Linked DNA regions of Diceros bicornis minor. The protein of the gene in region 1 interacts with the protein of each later gene in a pairwise test. Links are inferred from orthologs where the notes say so. Each region holds a gene or a part of one and is shown on either strand. Other genes may lie near its edges.

The links. The genes of interacting proteins can lie anywhere in the genome.
Region 2: the proteins of WIPF1 (region 1) and FASTK interact in binary tests that used the Homo sapiens proteins (3 or more experiments, as listed by UniProt). The two-hybrid records come from large-scale screens. The link is inferred for Diceros bicornis minor from reciprocal best matches to the Homo sapiens genes WIPF1 and FASTK.

What each region holds. Positions count from the first base shown.
Region 1 is NC_080749.1:55,572,831-55,582,922, reverse strand, and holds the start of WIPF1 (WAS/WASL-interacting protein family member 1), read left to right. Parts: upstream 1-5,127; 5' UTR 5,128-5,239; intron 5,240-10,092. UniProt on the Homo sapiens protein: Plays a role in the reorganization of the actin cytoskeleton. Contributes with NCK1 and GRB2 in the recruitment and activation of WASL.
Region 2 is NC_080742.1:96,740,803-96,751,719, forward strand, and holds FASTK (fas-activated serine/threonine kinase), read right to left. Parts: upstream 4,437-10,917; 5' UTR 4,353-4,436; coding exon 4,271-4,352; intron 4,265-4,270; exon of another isoform or gene 4,022-4,264; intron 3,758-4,021; exon of another isoform or gene 3,478-3,757; coding exon 3,055-3,477; intron 2,568-3,054; coding exon 2,388-2,567; intron 2,261-2,387; coding exon 2,121-2,260; intron 1,644-2,120; coding exon 1,430-1,643; intron 1,347-1,429; coding exon 1,187-1,346; intron 964-1,186; coding exon 872-963; intron 790-871; coding exon 654-789; intron 578-653; coding exon 463-577; intron 361-462; coding exon 253-360; 3' UTR 166-252; downstream 1-165. Other genes in the region: TMUB1 (transmembrane and ubiquitin-like domain-containing protein 1), read right to left, coding at 5,152-5,503, 5,793-6,181. UniProt on the Homo sapiens protein: Phosphorylates the splicing regulator TIA1, thereby promoting the inclusion of FAS exon 6, which leads to an mRNA encoding a pro-apoptotic form of the receptor.

The DNA.
Region 1 (10,092 bases):
TCATTTTAGAGATACAGAAACTAAGGCTTAGCCACCTGCCCCAGGCCATGCAATTAGGAAATCAAAGAGCCAAGACTGGTAGCCAGACAACTGGACTGAGAGCCCATGCACTTAACGATTACACTTATGGCCTCCTCATGAAACAGTCTGTGAAGGGAATTTGACTGTTCATGAGAATTAGCTATTTCTATTCTTGTATACTGTCATAGGAAGTATAAATTGGTACTCACATTTTGGAGAGCAATTTGGCAGTATCTATCAAAAAGGGCAAACCCTTCCACCCTGCAATTCTGCTTCTAGGATACTAACTTACAGAAGTACATAGGTGCATGAGCATTTGAGAGCATGAATGTTTATTGTGCATTTTTAAAAGGCTAATAACTGGAAGTAACATAAATGTTCTCTAATAGAGGATTTGGTTGAATTATAATACATCATACATATAATATACAATATATAATACATCATGAAAGACTATGTACCTATTAAATAGAATGATGTAGATTTATATTTAGGGAAATGGAAAGATAAACCTTGATGTCTATGGTAGGTAGGATTCTAAGCTGGCCCCCAAAATTTCCACTCCCTGGTGTACACACACTTTCTCCCAGTTGTTCAAGCAAGCACTAATATAGATGCTGATGTAAAGGGATTTTGCAGTTGTAATTAAGATCCCAAATCAGTCGAGTTTAAGATAGGGAAATTTCCTCAATGGAGCTCATGTAATCAGCTGAGCCCTTAAAAGGGACTGGGTTTTTCCTGGTAAAAGACAATGGAAGTGTGAGAGAGATTCAGCGTGAGAGAGATTCTCCATTGCTGAATGGAGACATGACATGAATGCAGGTGGCCTCTGGGAGCTGAGAACAGCCCCCCAGCTGACTGAGAGCAAGGGAATGGGTACCCTAGTCCTACTATCATACGGAACTTAATTCTGCCACTGACCTGAATGAGCTTGGAAGTGGATTTTTCTCCAAAGCCTCCAGAGGAGAACTCAGCTTGGCTGAAACCTTGATTTCAGCCTGTGATGCCTTGAACAGAGAATCCAGTCATGCCATATTCAGACTTCTGACCTACAGAACTGTGAAATAATAAATGGATGCTGTTTTAAGCTGCTAAATTTTTGGTAGTTTGTTATGTAGCAACAGGAAACTAATGCAATAGATTACTTAGTAGAAATAGAAAGGTAAATTACAGAAGATGTATAGTATGATCCCATTCCCCAGGCTTTCCATAAATATTTGTTGATTTAAAAAAAATAAGGATACATAGAAAAAAAACATGGAGAAGAATATACATCCTACCATTACAGTGGTTATCTCTGGAGAATGGGATTGTGGGGGATGCTTTCTACATTTATGCTATGGAACACTTGAATGGTTTAGAATTAGAACATATTTTTAGTAAGGAACGAAAATGATAAAGATTGAAAATACATAATAAATTTGCCATCCCAGACTAAGATTTAAGTTTCGTCATATCCAACTCTTACTGTTTTAAGTTTTGGAGTAAGTTGTGGCCCAAATAAGTAAAACATTCAGCATTCAAGGGGTCGGTCTTCTCAGTTCTAGAGACTGGTCAATCCACTAAATATGTACTGACCACCCATTGGGTGCCAAGCACCAGCCAGACTCCTTCCCTCCAGCAGACCCTGATTCCCTGCACCATGCCCTGGCTGTCATGGTGTTCTTATCCCACATAGCATTCCACTTCCTCCCTGCATTAATTCAGAAGAGAGAACCAAAATCATTCAAGCTACTATGGCGCCTTTAACCAGATCTACCTGAACCCCAATAATTCTCTGCAAATATAAATAGAATATTTTCTTCTTTTGCTATTTTGCACAAAGGAATCTGGACGCTAGTCAATTCAGGTCATTCATACCAGCAGAAGCTCAGAGATGGAACGAACACAGGAAGTCAAGTTAATAGACAGTATGCATAATAGAGCAAGGATGTTAGTGTCAAAATAATCTGGATTCTGAACTTCACAAGCTGAGGGATCTTGGGTGGGTTACCCAAGCTCTCCAAGTCAGTTTCCTCATCTGTAAAATGGGGACAAATATCTAACTCACCAAGTTGCTGTGATAATTAAATGAGATACTAGATGTAAAAGCCTAGTGCTTGGCATTCATTCATCAAGTGGTAATGAGGACTAAGAATGTGCCAGGTACTGTGAATACTGCGGTGAACCAGGCAGGCAGTTCCCTTCACATGCCCCTCCCCCCAAATTGGGGTTACTGTCTACAGGGGAAAGACAGGCATTAAACAAGCAATTACAATAAACAAATAATTGTGTTTTTTTTGAGGAAGATTGACCCTGCACTAACATCTATTGCCAATCTTCCTCTTTCTTTTTTTCTCCCCAAAGCTCCAGTACATAGTTGTAGAGTTATAGCTCTTCTACGTGGGACGCCGCCTCAGCATGGCTTGATGAGTGGTGAGTAGGTCCGTGCCCAGGATCCGAACCAGCGAACCCCAGGCCACTGAAGCCGAGCACGGGAACTTAACCGCTACAACATGGGGTCGGCCCCAAAGTAATTGTTATAAGAGCAGAACTTCTAAGGCACTACAGGGCTAGTTTAGAGGTCAAGGTATGTCCCAAAATGGTAGCCATGGAAATGATAAGCAAACATGTATTTAATAATATTGTGCTCTGGTAAATTTGTCTTAATTTTCCCAGTCTCAATGTCCTTCTGTCTCCCTCCCTTCCCCTATCCCAAGATCATTATAACATTTCCAGCCTAGCTTTGTCTTCAAGCAGCACTCAAGAAGCCATTTTTTCTTATTAACTCATTTATACAAAAGTGTACATGACTGCAAAGTTTTAGCATAATACCTCTGCCCGCTCCTAACTTCAGTATCTTCATTTTAAGCTATGATTTGGCATCACCCAAGGGAAGAAGGTATCTGTTGTAGAATTTTAGGCTTTGATCTTTTTTTTTAATTAAAAAAACTTTTTCAGCTTGAAATTATTTCAAATTTACAATTCAGTTGTGAAAATAGTAATAAATGTTTCCATATTTGCTTCACGCAGCTTCTTCAAATGTTAACATCTTACATAACCATAGCCCACTTAGGGAAACAAGAAAATTACCAGTGATAAAATACTATTCAGACGTTGACCTTATTGAGAGAAGTGTTGGATCTGAGAAGAGAGAGCCAGGCGCATTCTGGGCAACTGATCACTGGCCTTACTGGTGATTTAAAACAGCGGACAATTCCGAACGCCACTTAGTTCTGGCTTCCAATGATGAAATAAGGGGAGGGGGCATGCATTTTACCTTGCTGATTTTCTTTTGTGTACACTAATGCTAAAATTTACATAGATTCTTGAAAGACATAAACTCAAGAGAGTTCTTATCCCAACAACTATTTAATCAATTCCTTACAAGGTGCCAGGAGCTCTGCTGGACTTGGGGATATCAAAGGTAAGTGAGATTCCTGTTCTAGTTGTGTGCCACTACTCTACTCACCTTTAGAGGGATTATCACATTTACTCCTTACAACAAGCTAGCAGATAAAAACTATTGTTATCCCCATTTGATGGAAGCAAAAATTGAGGCTTAGAGAGCAGGTAAGAAAATCAGACAACTCCTGGGCTTCACTTCCATGCCACGCTGTGATAAGTGCTATTGATTTTTTTTTTTTAATACTTTTATTTATTTATTTCTTTTTCCCCAAAGCCCCAGTAGTTGTATGTCATAGCTGCACATCCTTCTAGTTGCTGTGTGTGGGACGTGGCCTCCGTATGGCCGGAGAAGCGGTGCGTTGGAGCGTGCCGGGGAGCCGAACCTAGGCCGCCAGCAGCGGAGCACGAGCACCCAACCGCTAAGCCACGGGCTGGCCCTGATTTGTTTTCAAGTCTAGAATAACATACTGATATATGAACTCACTTGTCTTCATTTTATACAAAACATAACATGTGCATATTACCATAGAAATCGTTTAAAAGAAAAGCAAATATATAATGAATCTTAAACAGATGGGTATGTTTCGGGACAAAAGTTTGTCAATGGGAAGAGTTTACCCATGTTACCAAATCTCTTTCCCAGAAGGGTTATTGTGTCTGTTAAGAGCATGTCAAGGTACAAGTGTGCACCTGGGAATAGCGTAGGAACAGAGACAGCCTAAAGTTAAGGATGAACAACCTCCTCAGCCTAGGACATCAGTTCTGAAGCGCATATAGTCCCACTTTTTCTGTTTTTATTCGAAGGGATACACAGCCTTGGTCTTTTAACAATACGATTAAATGGTTATTATATTGATCAAAAGTTGTTGTTCTTTTCAAACGCACACATTCTAATATCTGTGTCGTCTTAGTGTTAACTTTTCTTTGGGGCCTGGAGGTGGCGGCTTTCAGAGCTGACCAGGGCGTGGTAACAGCTCTCGCAATGGAGGAGAGCCTCAGCTTTCTCCAAACGTTTGCTGTGATCCTACCGTATTTGAGGATGTGGGTGGCTGATGGTAGAGCCATCCCCGCCAGCAGCAAAACTACTGAAAGAATCCAACCCATTGGTGGGGAGAACTGGCAGCTTTCCACGGGGAGAGCAGCACTGTTGTCCCCACACAGGGGGCGGGGAGACAGATGCGTGTGGACCTTGGGGATCTGTGGGTTTCACTCCATTTTAAAATTCATTTTTAAAATGAATTTGAATTCGAGGTGTCTCAAAGCCGGATCTTCTCTTTTGAGAACAGAGGTGAAGGTGATAGGGAAAAAGCTTTCCCTGGGGGTGCGGGAGGGGAGCCCCAGCGGCGGGAAGCTGGAGAGGACGCAGTCTTTGGGGGAAAGGGCCCTTGGTTGGACCCCCTTCCAGTTCCCGCTCCTCTGCAAAGCTTGTCCTGGACCCCACGGCCGCGTCCCCTCACTGTGCTGGGGAAGGGGACGGAGGAACACACGAGCCCCAGCCTCCTGCCCACCGCACTCCCGCCGCCTCCTCGGGGGGACCCGGGGCTGTGGGGCGCAGAGGCTCAGGACAGGCAGGGCGGGCGCGGCGCCCGGAGGAGACGGCGGCGGGCCGGCGGCGGCCTCGCGGCGCGTCCACATGTGGCGGGGCCGCAGGGGGGGGACGGGGAGCCGAGGGGGAGGGTTTACATCTCAGCGAAGTTCCCGGATGGTCGCAGCCTCCCGGCGCTGAGCGCTTTTCCTGCCCGGCCGGCTCAGCCCTACGGACCAGGGAGAAGTTTCCCCAAAAATGCCCTGCGCGCCGCGGGGCCCTGGAGCCGCCCGGAGCCGCTGCGCGGTAAGGGACGCGCTGCCGCCGCCGCCTCGGGCGCCACCCGGTTCCGGGGTCTCAGGGCAGCGCCCATGAGGAGCCCCGCGGCCGCCCGGGACGCCAGGGAGGGGCCGGGCTCGACGCCGGGGCTCAGAAGCGCCCTTGGCACCGGGTGGGCGCGGGGCGGGTGAGGCGGGCGGGGCGGCCCGGGACGTCGGGGCGCGCGGCCTCGGGAGGGGCGCAGCTCGGGGCGCCGCGGCCCGCGCGTCCTGCGGGTCCGGCGGTTGCTCAGGGAGGAGGGGGCCGCGGGCGGTGGGGCTCCGGACGCGGGCGCCCCCCGGGCTGGGCGCCTTCCTGGGCTCCGCCGGCCCCGGGGCCGCCCGAGGGGCTCGGGACCCGCTCCCGCCGCAGTTCCCCGCGGCCCGGGCTTCGCGGGGATGCTCTGGGGGCGCAGCTACACCCCCAGCTCGGGCGGATGGACTCTCGGGCATCCCCGGGCCAGTTCGTGCGCTGGAACCGCCTCGCCTTCTTCGCTGAGGGCATCGTGCCCATCCCGCAGCTCGGCTCCCAAACTAGCCTCCGGCCGGGTGCTCGCTCTGGGTTGGGTGTAGACGCGCGCCTTAGGTTTGCGTTGACCTTAGAGGCACTTTCAGTCCCCGTCAGCGTCTCTCCCGGGCCTCTCCCGAACTTTCCGGACAGCTTCACTTCGTCTCACTCCCCCAACCTTTTTCAATTAACATATTCTTCCTTTTTAAAAAAGTACAGTTAAAAAAAGTTGCAAATGTTAGAGAAACCAGCTGACCCAGTCGGGGCGACCCAAATCTTCAACTGGTGCTTAGACTTTGACCTCTCTGAGATTAACAAAGGGTGTGTCTGTGTGAAGAACCGGGCCTGGCTAAATCTCTGGTCCTGCTTAATCTCGGAGGAATATCCCTTCCTGGGCCAGGGGCTGCTGGCCTTATCTTAGTTCTCCAGGAAGACTCTCGAGTTGTCAGTAGTGGCTGGGTGGACTTGGTCCCTTTTTCTGAAAATTGCGTGTCACTGTTGTCCCCTGGATAGTCCCCGGACCGCACCTCCAATCCCTGGCCGCGTGTAACCCCAGACTGCAGGCGGTGCAGCAGCGGAGCCCCTGGACACAGGCCCGCCCTGGGTGGGTTTTCTTTTGCCAGTTTCTCAAGGCAATTCAGAACAATACTGTAGCTTCATTCTGAGTCGTTGGCATGTTTTTCCTCCTCAAAAATGCCTTTTTCTATTGCGGATAAAATAACTCCAGGATATTTTCTATTTCAGTTTGTAAATCGCCTTTGGACTTCTTGAGATGAGAGAACCCCAAATAGGCCATCAGCATTTTGCATCTCAGTCACTCTTTACAGTGCTCAAAATACTACCTTCTGCTCTTGCTGTCTTTACCTGCCTATCGTCCCCACAAGGTTGAGTTTCTCAGGGACCAAATCCCCAGCCACCTGTAGGACTCTATTACCTGTTGAATGGAAGTGTGCAAATTAAACTCTGCAGGTGTTACTAAAGCATTTTAATAACATCATCTTCTTCCTTGGGACCTACCCAACTTCTGCCATAACTTTGGCTTCCTGAGAAGCACATAAACTCTTTTAGGTTTGTGTGATGTAAAGCAAATGGATTTGTAAGCAAGGTAAGATCAAATTCTGGGACATTTAGAGACAATGGGATTACTTCCAGCTGGAGAGATTCAGGCCTTTTTTCATTTGTGTATTCATTTGACCAATTAAGTGTCTACTGTCTGTTCAGCCACTTACTGGTGCCCTTTGGCCTGTCAAGTGGGATAATGGAGTGTGAAACAGCAAAAAGCCTCACGTGATGGCACAAGGCATTAGAGGGACACCCAGACACCAGGCAGTGGTCGCACAAAGACACAAGAGCGATAAGAGCTACAGTGTCTTGGTGCTCTGGCCAGGAATGAGCCCCCTTTTGTGGGAAGTGTTCGTCATTGGGTCTGTGTCACTGTCTTTGGTATTTCAGGGTGCTCCTAACTATGGTTGTCATTTTAGGAACATACATGGTTTCTACAGTGCCCACCAGGAGAACAAAACTAAACAAAAGTGCCTTTTATTTGTTGCTGTACCCCCTTCATTTTTAAGTATCTGCTATTTGGGATTCTGTATCTCAGAGCCGTGGTCTTCCTGAAGCCTGCCCTCCAATGAGGTCTCTCAAGTTGCTAGTGATTTCCATACAGAGGATGCTCTGCCTCTATGTCCTAGCAATCCACGGTTCTGCCATGGTGCTGGAAGGTTTGGTGGGCTTACACCTGTGAATGGCTAGGACCCACATATGTGAGTCAGGTCACAGTTGGAATCAAGCCAGATACTCATTTGACATTGAAGTTCCCTGATGGAGTCGATGCTGTGCCCTGTGCTAGGAGTAGAAGGGGAGACCTAGCTCAGAAGGAGATGCAGTTTGCCCCTGAACGCTTACCTTCTGGTAGAGATGAGACATGGTTTCAAAGAGCAAGAATGCAAGGCAGAATGTGGTAAATAAGGTAAAAAAGGTACAGATCAAATAAAGGGAATTTAGAGGGGAGTGAAATTACTTCCAGCTGGAGGGAGTCAGTCCTTGATTAGTTTGTCCATTTGACAAATATTTGTTAAGTGTCTACTGTGTGTCAGGCACAGGAAGATTAATAAACACATTCACATTGCTTTCCACCCTCACAGCTCCAACTGAGGAACAGTTCAGGTTCCGCCTCCCTGCCACAAATGAATGCTTCCTCCCTCGGCCTCGTTGTATTGCCCAGCCCAACATTTGCTAATTGTTCCTCACCACGTAGGGATTACAGTCAGGTCAAAATAACTAACTGCCTTTTGTATACTTTGGAGTAATAAAAACTCTAGGCTCACCAAAGCCCCCAGAAAACCTTCAGTTAGCTTAGTAATGCTATTCTGCTTAACGTGCTTTAACTAGTATTGAAGTGCGCTGGTCCTTAGCCGGGGGTGTGACTAGAAGTTTATAAAGGCTTGATTCTGGGGTGAGGCCCAGGAATCTACTTTTTGAAAGCCCCCAGGTGATGCTGACGTGCTACCACGTGCAAATCCTGTGCCGGTTAAAGCCTCGGCCGGTAAGTCCGACAGATCTTACTTCTACACCCAGCTCTGTCTTGGACAAGTTCTGCGACTTCCATATCTTCACCTTTAAAATGAGAGTAACCACTTCTTTCTACAGAGTTGTTATGAGGGGCGGATGCGGTCATGGACGTGGACCACTTAGCAGATTATCCGGGACGGTGCTGCTGCTTGGTATTTTTGGGCTATTATCGTTATCAGTGTTCGTTTGTACTATTGCTGTTCCTCTTTCCGTATGAAAATACAAAAAAAGCCTAAACACAGGAACTGCTTTTTATATAAATTAACATATAATAATCCCTAAGCTGTCTGTAGTTTATTGTGTGTTTCACACCAGTCACCTGGTATTATTCACCTGGTACATATTCTGTTAACAACTGAAAAGGAGGAATCTCACAGAAGAATCTCAGTATTGGGGGACTACCAGCCTGTGGTATCTGCTTAGCCAGTCAAGCCTACTCTGCTGAGGTTTTCAGGGCAGATAAAGGTCAGGAAAGTGAAGATGGGCTACCTTCCTGGCCCTTTGGCACCACGAGATGCCAGGGTAACATGTTGTGGCAGTCATACAGATGTAGGGGTGACCAGTGGATTAGACTGCCCCAGGCCGAGCTGTAGCACCTAAGCCCACAGGGTAGGGTTGCCATTGCTTTTGTGTTCTCTTGTGGTCAGGGGTCAGGAAACTTTGATTCCTGGGGAGCATGATCATTATTACAGTCTTCAGATTAGTCATAAATACTTGTGAGAAGTCAATAATAATTGACTTAGCCAATACTTAATAAAAGAACATAGCTAAAATAAACAGGTGACAAAATTACCTACAATTTTCATTAGTTTAGAAGCCTCAGTGAACATGGTTCATATTGTAAAAACATGTTGCTGTGATGTTATACAAGCATACATTGTAGCGTTGCTTACCATGGATATATTTTTTCTCTTCTAATGAGCCATCTTTCCAGTATAACTCAATTTCTTCTTTTTAATTTCCTTTTATCTCTTAGTTATATTAAGTGAATCAAATTCTTCAAAGCTTTCTATGATCTGACCCAAGCTTTTAAAAATCTCTCCTTCCTTTCTTCCTGTCTTCCTTCCTTCCTTCCACTCTCTCTCCCTCTTTCCCTTCCTTTCTTCCTTTAATGTGACTACTTACTATGTGTCATTTCATTGAATCCTTTAATAGTCACACAACCCTGTGAGGTAGCTTCTACTCAGATATATGTAGAACCTGAGGCTAAGAGAAGTTAGGTAATTTGTCCAAGGTCACACAGCTAGGGGGGGAGATAGAGCTAGTCTGCAAACCTGGGGCAGTCTGATTTCAAACGCTGCACTTTTAACCCTTAACTCACCTTCAGCCGTGTATTACACTTCTTTTTATGTAGTGGGCTCCAGCTAAACTATTCTTTTCCCTTCCCGTCTGTATGCCTTTGCATCGACATTTCTTCTCTCCACACTGCCCCTTCTTGTCACTTGATGTTGAATCCTGTAGATTCTTCAAATTGGCCACAGATACTTGTTGAGAAGAAAAATAATAGACTTTGCTAATACTCAATAAAGGGAGAATATAGCTAAAGTAAACAGGAGACACAATCACCTACAAATTTCATTAGTTTAGTAGCTTCGATAAACATGGTTCACATTGTAAAAACATGCTCCTTAAGAAGAGCCAAAATGCTCTCTTCTCCGCCAGCTGATTCCTCCTGCTTCTTAGTAACTTCCTGGAGCTGTTTGTTTGGGCCTCACCTGTGGCTCCAAATCCACTCTGTCCTCTATTGGAGTCACTTGTATGTG
Region 2 (10,917 bases), on another chromosome or scaffold:
CCCTTCCCTCCCCCTTCCCCCCCTCCTCCCGCAGTAAAGTGCTTCGGCCACCACCTATCCCTGGCTTTCTGTCTCTGTATGGGGGGGCACGAATGGAAAAGAGATGAGGGGACCCAGCCCACTCCCTGTCCCAGAAACGAGATGCGCAATGGGGAAGGGAAGGGACTTTAATGAGAAACCAAAACAGAGGGAACCAAAGTGCAAATTGTCCACCCCCCATAGGGGGGCCATCATGAACCCGTGTGCACCCCCTCACCCCCCTTCGGGCCCCCAGCGGAGTCCCAAGGCCTGGAGCTTCTGCCTCAGGTAGCTCTTGAGCTGCGGCAGGCCTCTCTGTGACTCCAGTTCCTCGAAGGGTAGCTGTGGGGGAGAGGGCAGCAGGTTACTAACCCACAAGGCCTGCAGGGTGGGGGTGGGGTGAGGATGCACATGGAGTCGAGCGACGGAGGCAGAGGCTCTCACCGGCAGGAGCTGGTAGCCCATCAGGCCCAGGTGCCGCTCCCGCAGAGCCCGGGAGCCCAGCAGCACTCTGCCATCCCGGCAGAAATGCCAGCGTTCCCGCAGCATCAGCACCACCCTGGAGAGGGAACAGACGGGGGCTCAGGGATGCTCTCTACGGAGGCCTAGGAGGGTCTCCTACCCTCTTCCCTTACCTTTGGGCAGGGTCGTGGGTAGTGGGCTGAGAGGCAGCCTGGCCCCGTGGACAGGACCTGGGAGGATATGGTAGGAAGGGGTCCTGGGTCCTTACAGGAAGCACAGCACCAGAGCTGCTGACACACAGCAGGAAGTCTGGAGGGGGGGAGACAAAGGGCCACTGGCTTTTAGCTAGGGCTCCATGTTGCTGGCCACCGCCCACGCATCTGGAGCTCACCTGTGCAGTAGCCAGGAGGCACGGTCAGGTCCTGGCGGTATTTCTCCTCCCCCAGCAGCTGGCGCAGCCCCTCAGCAACTATGTCCTTGTGACTGAGGGAGAAGGAGCACCGCTCTCAGGAGTCTCGTGCTAGCTCGGTCCGCCTAGCTCCATGACCCCAGGCAAATGCCTTTGCTGCCTCAAGGCCGTTTTTTTTCTTTGTGACTGCTAAGAGTGCATCAGCGTGGACAGTTCACGGTCCCTCTGGCTTTTCTACTCTGTGCTTCTTGCGGGCCAGCCCCTCCCGTCTTCCCCTCCCCCAAGGTGCCCATCCACCTGTACTTGGAGCGGGCACGGTCAGTGATGAGCGGCTGGGGGAAGATGGGCACTTGCTGCCTTCGGGGAAGGCGGGGACCCTGGTATCCTGGGAGCTCCAGCTCCACGGCCGTGTCCAGCAGGGAGAGGTAGCGCCGCACAATCAGGGCGTGAGGGGTGCCTGCGGGACAGTGGACTGAGGCTTGCTGGGCTGCAGACTCCCGACCCCACTTTCCCTTCCCAGCGGCCCTCCTGGCTGCGCACCACTGACGTGGTTGATGAAACTCGGGGAAAAGACAAAGTGCAGGACTCGGAAGGGTAGGCACCGCAGCTGACACAGGGACATTAAGATGTTGACCGTGGCCAGGGGGGCCACCCCGGCTTCCCGAGCCAGGATCCTCTCAAGGCAGGGCATAAACTGCTGCTCCAGGGGCAAGTAGTTCAGCCGCCCAAAGGGCAGGACCAACTTCTGTACCACCTGTGGAGAAAGAGCAGCCTGTCACCCAGCACAGCACAGAACGGTTCTCCAACATCCTTTACAAGCTGAACCCCGGGGAGGCGTGGCCTGCAAGCTTATAACATCGAACAATCCTACTACCCGTGACATACACACTGGAAGTTCAACAGCATGAGCAGTCTTGAGCCCCACGTGATTCATCCACACAAGCAGAGGAGACATCGCTGTGGGTCTGGCCCTGAAGGCTCAGGAGTGGGATCAATGAAGCTGGGACAGCGCTAAGAGTGCCCGGAGAACTGCAGAGAACCAGGCATAAGTGCTGGGGAGCTGGACAAGCCGAGGGTGTGAGTAAGATGGAGTCCCGGGGGAACGAGCAGAGAGCCTCCCTGGGTTGTCTGCTGCAGGAAGCAGCCAATCAAGCTGGACAGGCAGCTGAGCCTGACAGGGTGACTGAGGATGACTAGGAGAGGAGCGTGGGAGGTTGGGAGGTAATCCCACCTTGCTGCTGAGCTGGGCTTCCTGGACCACCAGGAAGTGGGCAATGGCTTCCAGAAGCTGGGGCTCCCGCAACCGGTGCCGGGCCAGGTGCTGGGCCAGTAGCACCATCACGTGCGGGGTCAGTTCCTCTGGCCCGGCCTCTGCGAAGAACAGCCCATGACGCTGGACCCTCAGGCCAGACCTCCAGACTAGATTCCACCTTAGCCCAGACACCATCACCTGTCTCCTCCTCTGCCCCTCCCCACCTGCCATTAGCTCCCCCAGCACCTGCCAGGCTGCGGATGAGGTGCTGCCGTGGATACCGCAGGAAACGGGGGCAGCTCAGAGCAGCTTCCAACCTTTGCCCACCACGAAGGACAGGTTGCAGAGGGGGAGGCGGCTTCGGAGGGAGGCGGAACCTTCGCTCCCGCTCCAGGGCACACACCAGGGGCCCATCTGACGGGAAGCCTGAGAGGGAGAGGGTAAGAGAAGGCAGTCCTGCTAAGGACTGCCCTGCTCCGCTCCAGTCATGGGGATTAGTTAGTGAATTCCCAACCTTCCTCGTCTCCACATTCTGGGCTGGAAGGTTTGCTCTAGCATAAATGGAAACACTGGAGAAATGTGAAATGTTGCGTGAACAGGAGGTATCACAACAGCCTGTGGGGAAGGCCTTATACAAAGAGGACAAATAAGTTCTCATCTCCTGCCAATGGTGACATTGTCATGGCTTCCTAGAGCACTAGATTACAAGGGATCTGGAGTGGCGCCCTAGGGAGGCTGGACAAATGCTGCTTGACCCCCCGTGTCTGCTGTGGATGCCGGGGAGCAGCAGCCAGTGTGCGGGGCCCGTGCCATTCCTGGCAAAACCGGAGAGGTGCATTCTGACAGGGATCTCAGGGCCTCTGCTGCTCTCTCTATTCTTCCACTAACACCCAACCCCCAGACCCCTCCTCACCAAGTAAGACTGCAAGGTGCAGACACACGTGGATGGTGTGAATGTCAAAGGAGGGGCAGTTTCGGATGATGAGCTGACTCAAGTCCTGCAGGGTGGCCTGCTCCACGGGAGGGGGCCGTGGCCGAGACCCCAAGAGCTGGCCCAGACGACGGAGTGCCACAGGGTAGTGGTGGGCACGCACTTTGGTAGGGTTCTGGCCCAGCCAGCGCAGCAGCTCCCCTGGACTTCTCGCCTGTTCCAGAAGCCGCTGCAGCCCCTGCACAGGGCCTGCATGGGGGCCTCCTCCAGCAGGCCGGTCCCCCCACTTGCTGGGCCCCAGATAGCAGGGCTGTACTGGTGGGAGCAGCAGCAGGCCAGACAGCCGAGCAGCAGAGGCCTGGGCAGAGAGCAGGACTCGAAGCATGGAGTTGGGTGATGGAGACCCTGAGGGGTGGCCCAGAAAAGGGGGTGAGGTTTTCTCCAAAGGGGAGAAAGACCTGCTATCTGCTCCTCACCTCACTTCCCGTTCAGAAGGCCTGGGGTCGGAGCAACCTAGACTCGTGTTCACCCTTCCTTGTGACCGCTCTGGTCCTCTTCCCCACCCCGCCCCTCTGCCTCCTTCCACTCATTTGAAGCAGCAATCACAGTCCTTCAGCGTGCTCAGCGCAGTGACATTTACAAAGCAGTTCCACATGCATTATCTCCTCTGATCTTCCCTACACGCCTGAGGAGACAGGCAGGGCTGGCATTACCTCGATTTCCCAGGTGGAGAAACCAAGGCCCAGAGAAGCGAAGGGGTTAAGTTAAGCCCGAAGTCACGAATCGGGTTAGTGGTGGCGCCAAGCCTGGAGCCCAGCTCGCCCGGTGCGTACGCCCTCCCGACCACCTCCCCCTCCCGCAGGAGGCGGCGGCGGCGGCGGCGCGGAGGGTGGAACACGGGCTCCGCAGCCGGACGGTCCTGGGTTCCAAGCTGGGCGCTCCCACTTACCAGCTGCGTGACCTTGGACAAGTGGCTTCGTCTCTCCGCCCAAGCCTCCTCGCCCGTGAAACGAGCACGCGGCGCCCACCTCGCAGAGCGCCCGTGGGGCTGAGAGAGCGGCTTTGCGGCGGCGCGGAGTCGGCGGTGTCAGGGGCCCCCACACCCACCCGGCCCGGGGGCGCCAGGAGACGGTCGTCACTGTCGCCAACACCAACTCCCGCCGCCCTCCCGCGTCCGCCCCGCAGGCGCCGCCCCTACATGACTCCCCAGGCCCCGCGCAGGTCGCTCCCTCAGTCGGTCTCGGGGCCCGGGAGCCGGGCTCCCCCCGCGGCCTCCTCATCGGCGGGCCACCGAGTCCGCCATCTTCCCAGCAGCCCCGGATCGCCGCCCGGACACCAATCCCGGCTCAGTCGTCCGCCAGCAAAGACGTGGCTCCCGTCAGACCCCGCGCGCCGGGGCGCCGCGAGGCCCCTCCCCCCGTTTCCGGGAAGCTGCGCGCGCGTCACCGGGGCGGAGCCAGAGAGCTGGGAGCTGAAGCTGGGGCGCAGAGGAGAGGGGAAGCCAGCGGCCGGTATGGGCAGGCTGTGCAGGAGCGAGAGCCCCGTACAGCCCTTCACTCCTTTTCTCCCAGTGGGCGAGGGCTCCCCGCCCCCTGCCCCCACGGCCCACAAACCCAGATACACACCGAGAGTGAAAACTTCACAGTTATTTAATCTGCGCATGTCCCGGAGAACCCCCTCCGCTCCTCCCAGCTACCCTTCACCAGCCGCCCACAGTCTTTGGGTCCCCAGATCAGCCCAAGAAGCTATGTGTTGGGTCCTCAGAACACTAGGACGGGCCCAGGGGCGTGGCCCGGCTCTGCCCCGGGCCAAGGCAGCGACAGCAGCTGCCTGACACCGAGGAGCCGACTGTCAGTGGGGCCTGAGGGCCAGCAGCCCCGGGAGGTGGCCCAGAGCCATGGAGGTCACAGGGAGGGGCCTCTGCCGGCCCCCGGAGTGCCCTGCGGCGCACGGCTGGGCTCCAGGGTAGTGGGAAGAGGCAGGCCGGAGAGGCAGGCCTGGGCAGACAGCAGCTCCCACCGTGTCGTGGGGAGCAAGGTCCAGAGCGGCCAGCAACACTGCCGAGAGCCCGTGGAGGCACTACGGACGGTACATGGCAAAGGCCAGGAGACTGAGGAGCAGGGTGAAGCCGGCCAGACCCAGAGTGGCGGTCAGAGGAAAGAAGGGCCGGTACTGGATCTGGCAGTACCAGAGCAGCAGCAGCAGCAGCAGCAGCAGGGGCAGCAGGAGGCTGCCTATTTCCAGCCCTGAGGGGCCTGGTTCTGACCCCGGTGGGCAGGGGGTGTGTGGGGGACCGACCCGCGTGGACACGTGGCAGTGGAGAACGCAGTTGGGAGGGAGGTGAAGGCTGCCCAGGGTCTGGGTATCGTCTCCTAGCAGCTGCCCTTGGTAGATGAGCCGCACCTGCTGTTCCCGGCCGGGAAACTGGGTCCTGAGGAAAGAGGGACCTGGGTAATAGAGCAGGCCTCAGGCAATCCTAGTCCCTTGCCCAGAACAACACTCCCACCCCTCATCTCTGCCCTCCTCCCACCACCCAGGTCATGGCCTTCAAGGGGGTCCCCTCCTGCTACAGGGCAACAACACAGTCTGCAATTTGGGAACTTCAGTTCCCTCATCTATAAAATGAGGGAGCAGTCTCAGATAGCTCTGGTGGCCCTTCCAGGTGTGTGATCACTCCCACCCCACTCTAGCATTTCGTTCCTGTCCTCATCCCAGCTTACCTTTTCAGGGAACCGATGGTGTCGTGGGGCCAGGCCCTGGCCACCTGCTCTGAATCGTTGAGGAATTTCAGGCGTAGTACTAGGGGCTCCTGAGGGGAGTCCGGGGGTGGCGGCGTTGCTGGGAGCGGCGTCCCAGGTTGTGGCTGTGCAGCCTGACCTCTGTGTCTCAAGCTGGGGGTCTCTGCTCCTGGGGCCTCCCCTCTGATGCTGTCAGTGACTGCCATAGCTTCGCTGGGCTGTGCTGGTGTTGGGATCCCTGACGGCTGGGGCAGCGAGTCGGTGCCCTCGGCGGTGTGTGTTGAGACCCAGGCGAGAGCCAGCACCAGAACGCAGGCAAGCACCGCGAAAAGGATGGTCACCTCATCACCTACCCCTTCAATCAGGGCCATGGCACCCGCCTTGCCCACCACGCTACCGAGCTGGAGAGGCACAAAGAAGCCATGAGGAGCTGGCTCACTGGCCAAGAGCTGTCTCAACTTCAGCAGGCTCCTGAGCCATCCCACCACAACTCTCCTGCAGCCCTCATTCCTCCGCCCCCTTACCAAGTGCCACCCCGGGGGCACAGACTGCTCTGACTCCCAGTCACCCCAAACTTGCCTCGTGTGCCCTCTCCCATCACCAAATGCCAAGTCCTAACTTTTTGTAATCTGAGTTCTTGGTCTCTAACCAGTTCCCCAATTCACCCAAACCCTATCCGAGGTAAGGGCCTTGACCTTTTAAGTAACCTCTCCCCTAAATTCAACCTCCACCAAACTTCACCCAAAGCTTACCTATTCTTCCGTCCACTTCATCCCAAAGTTTATCTACCCCAAAGGTTATCTACTCCGTCGCTAAAGTTTCTCCAAGGGGGAAGAAAAAGGGCCTCTATGCCCCCCACCCCCACCCCGTTACCATGTACCCAAATCCCACCCGCGGCACGGGACTGCTTCCCACGGCTTCCCCACACCAAACGTCAAACTCCGCCTTTTGGCAATCCGGAGCCTCCAAGGGTTGCTACCCCTCACCCAACTGGGTCCCTCCTGGTCCACTCAAGCCCCAGCCCGCGGCAGACCGACTCTGCGCCTCCTCTGGAAGCCTCTGCAAACCCAAGCCTCTGCAGACCCCAGATCACGCCCGGGAATCCAAGACTTCGCCCTCCCCACCCCCAACTCCTCCATCACTCCTCCCATCTTCCCGCCCCCCGGAGCCGCGGGAGGACACGGGCGAGCCCCGGGCGGGGCGAGCGGGGGCCAGGGGCGGCGGGGTGGGCGCGGTCACGGCGCGGGTACTCACCGCCCGGCTGCGCCAGCTCCATAGCAGACCCTCGGGCACTTCCGGGCGGGAGGCGCCGAGGTCGCAGACACCTGAAGACACCCCTCCTTCCCCGCCCCCGACGCCTCCGCCTGGCGCATTGTGGGACTTGTAGTGTAGCTCCGTGAGCAGTCCCCGCCCTCAGCCATGCAGACCCACGTGCGGGGCTCGGCGGGCTGGTTCCCGCAAGTAGCTGGGAGGCCGGCGGGGGCGGGTTCAGGGGTTGTGCTAGCGCGCAGAGGTTTGGGCGGCAGCAGGATCCGCCCCCTCCCCCGCCCGCAGCCAGAGCATCTGTCACTCCAGAAACGGACGTCAGCCAGTGCACGTCAGCGCACCCGTGTTTCGAGATGCAGACTCTTGGGGGCTCAGATAGGCTCTACCCCGGCCTACCCTTATGTAAGAGTGGACGCCAGCAGGCACCTTGGGCCCGCTAAATGGATTCTTCAGCCCAGAACCCAGTACCCACGGGCTGCCCCACCAGGATGCCTGAGGATACCAGTCCCCGGGGCTGGCCAGGGTGGCTTGGGCTGTCCTGTTGCCCTGGTCCCCTCCTCCACCTCGCCCCTGCAAGACTGTGAAAGAAGCATGGACTTTGGAACCTGGCACAAACGCTGATCCCTTGTCCCGTGCTTATCAACTATATGACCTTGGATGCGTTATTGAATTTCTTTGACCCCTAAACTTCTTCATTTCTAAAACATACCTCATAAGGCAATTGTAAGGAAGAAATTAGGTGGCTTACTAAATGTGTGAAAACTATGTCAGGTGGGGCTGGCCCGGTGGTGTAGTGGTTAAGTTCATACCCTCTGCTTCTATGGCCCAGGGTTGGCAGGTTCGGACCGGGGCACGGACTTATGCAGGGCTCATCAAGCTATGCTGTGGCAGCATCCCATATACAAAATAGAGGAAGGTGGGCACAGATGTTACCTTAGGGCTAATCTTACTCAGCAAAAAGGGGAAGATTGGCAACGGATGTTAGCTCAGGGCCGATCTTCCTCACAAAAAGAAAAAACAAAAACTATGTAAGGAATCTGCCATTCAGTAGATATTTGCTCACCTAGTTTTAGAACACTCCCTCCACCCAAACCTGGCCCTAGAAATTGGGTCGTTAGCCTGTTACTGTGTAGAGGATGTTGAGTCTCAGCCTGGCCTGGGCCAGCTAATTTCTGTGGATTTTCCCTCCTTCCTCTGGGCTCCTATAGGCACAGAGATCTCACATCCCGGATTTTATAGGCCAGTCTTGATTAAAAGTTGTGTACCCTAGTGTTCCCATAGCACATGCCTACTTGTGGGAGTAAGTACTCCAAGTGTTGCCTTGGGAAAGTCAATTTAGATTTATAACGTACAGAACTAACTTATCTCGGGCTGGCCTGGTGACATAGTGGTTAAGTTTGGGCGCTCTGCTTCAGCGGTCTGGGGTTTGCTGGTTCAGATCCCAGGCACAGACCTACACACTGCTCATCAAGCCATTCTGTGGCGGCGTCCCATATACAAAATAGAGGAAGATGGGCACGGATGTTAGCTCAGGGCTAATCTTCCTTAGCAAGAAAAGAGGAAGATTGGCAGTAGATGTTAGCTCGGGGTCAATCTTCCTCACCAAAAAAAAAAAGAAAAAGAACTAAGTTATCTCTAGTTCCTTCCCTTCCATTCATTCATTTATTCCACAAACATTTATTAAATGTGTATTATATGTCGGGCACTGTGCAAGATGCTGGGAATACAATGGTGAATCAGGCCCTGTCCCTGCCTTTATATGGCTCATGTATTAATAGAGGAGACAGGCAGGTAGACAGCCCACCAGCGCTAAAACAGGTGTGCTGGCTGCTGGGGCAACACATTTGAGGAACTCTTTACCTTCAGCATCTCTCCCGGGGGGGGGGGGGGGGGGGTACCTGGTGCAACTTCCTGTTGTCAATTCTATTTTTTTTTTTTTTGAGGAAGATCAGCCCTGAGCTAACTTCCATTGCCAATCTTCCTCCTTTTTTTCCCTTTTTCTCCCCAAAGCCCCAGTAGATAGTTGTACGTCATAGTTACACATCCTTCTAGTTGCTGTATGTGGGACACCGCCTCAGCATGGCCTGACAAGCTGCGCGTCGGTGCGCGCCCAGGATTTGAACCCGGCCGCCAGTAGCGGAGCACATGCACTTAACCACTAAGCCAAGGGGCCGGCCCCATCAATTCTAATTAAGCATCTAAAAGAGATGTTAGATACCGCTTTTAGAATTACAGATCAGAGCTAGGTGTTGTGTTCAACCACTTGTTTTGTAGATGAAGCCCAGTGAGGGTACAAGACATCCTTAAGATCAAACAGGTAAATAGAACCCATATCTCTCAGGAGCTGGGGAGGCCCCTGGTGTTGATTAGCTTGCATCTAGTTCTTTGGAAGGTACAAGAAACTCAGGAATGGTGACCAGGTTGGTACTGGGGCAAAGTTGTGTGGGTTGCTGAATGAGGGGCAACTTTATGCTGGGGAAAGGTCCAGCTTGGCCTGGGAAGTGGAAGTATGTGTAAAAAGGATATGTGTTAACTGTGCCAGAGAACATTGGGGTGCAGCCACGGCAGGCTGATTGGCTGGGTCAGTGCCCTGCTCATTCCACCTCTGGTGGGTTTTAGGAAAGGTTGGGGAGGGGTGGCTAGCAGAACTGCAGACAGCTTTAGCAATGGGATACAGAGGAACTGGGACATTGAAGGGAGCTCCCTGGCTCCAGAAGGAGTGGACAGGAACATAGAATGCACAAGGGGGTGAGGACAATTAAGAGAGCCTCTGGTAAGTGTCTTGAATGGGGTGAGTGGGGGAAGAAGGCATAATATTTGATTCCTCTCTTTTTTTCCTCTATGTACCAGTGGGTTCCATCAGCGGTCACGGAACCCTCCTCAGTCCAGCAGGAAGGTCTTTTAGGAGAGAGCAGAAATTAAGAGTGGGGATGTTGTTGTTCAAAGTGTCATTTCCAAGGACATCACTGATGACTTTCTCAGGGAGAACTGGAAATAGAAGCCAAGAGCCCAGATTTCCAGCCTGTGCTGCAGCCAGCAGTGGAGAGTCCAGGGGAGGGCTAGAGGGAGAGCCCCAGGGGACGGGGTAGTCTCTAGGGTTGACCTCGGGGCCGGGGACAGGGGAGCTTGTGCTGCACTGAAGGCAGGACGACGTAAGTGAGGCGCAGCCGGTCCTGGGCTGGCGGCCCTCCTTGGCCAATTAGCCGCGTTGATCAGCACCCTCAGGCGTAGGGCACTGTTCGGGCACTGCCGAGAGATCGGACACCCCACTCAGACCAGCACAGGGAGGCGAAAGCGACAGCCGGGGCCAGGAGGAGGCCAGGGCAGCCGTCCCCTGAGAGCGAGTGGCCCTCACGGCGGGTGTGGGTTGGGGCTGGAGAAGAGGCGGAAGGGCCAAGGCTAGGTGGGAGGGGCCGGGGCACCAGGGCTGGAGCGCGCGGCTCGGGGGTGGAGGCTGCAGAACCAGGGAGCGAGCGAGGGGCGGGGGCGCTGGGGCTGGCGCGCAGGAGGGGCGGGGGCGGCGGGGAGGGGGGCCTGAGCTGCGTGTGCTGGAGCCGGCGGGGGCGGCGGTGCGTGCGCATGACGCGGGGGGAGGGCCTGGGCCGCGCGCTCCCGGTCCCGTTGTTGTTGCCGCTGGAGGCTGGTCCGAGGCAGCGGGGATTGCCGCGCCGGGAAGCGCCCGGCAGCGGCGGCCACAGCGTGCGCGGCGTCGCCTCCCGGCCTCGGCCCCCGGCCCCCGGCCCCATGCGCTAACCCCGCGCCGCCGGCTCCGTAGTCCCGGCCCCGCCAGCCCCGCGCGCCCGCCCGCCGCCGCCGCCGCAGCGCCGCCTCGGGCCCCAGC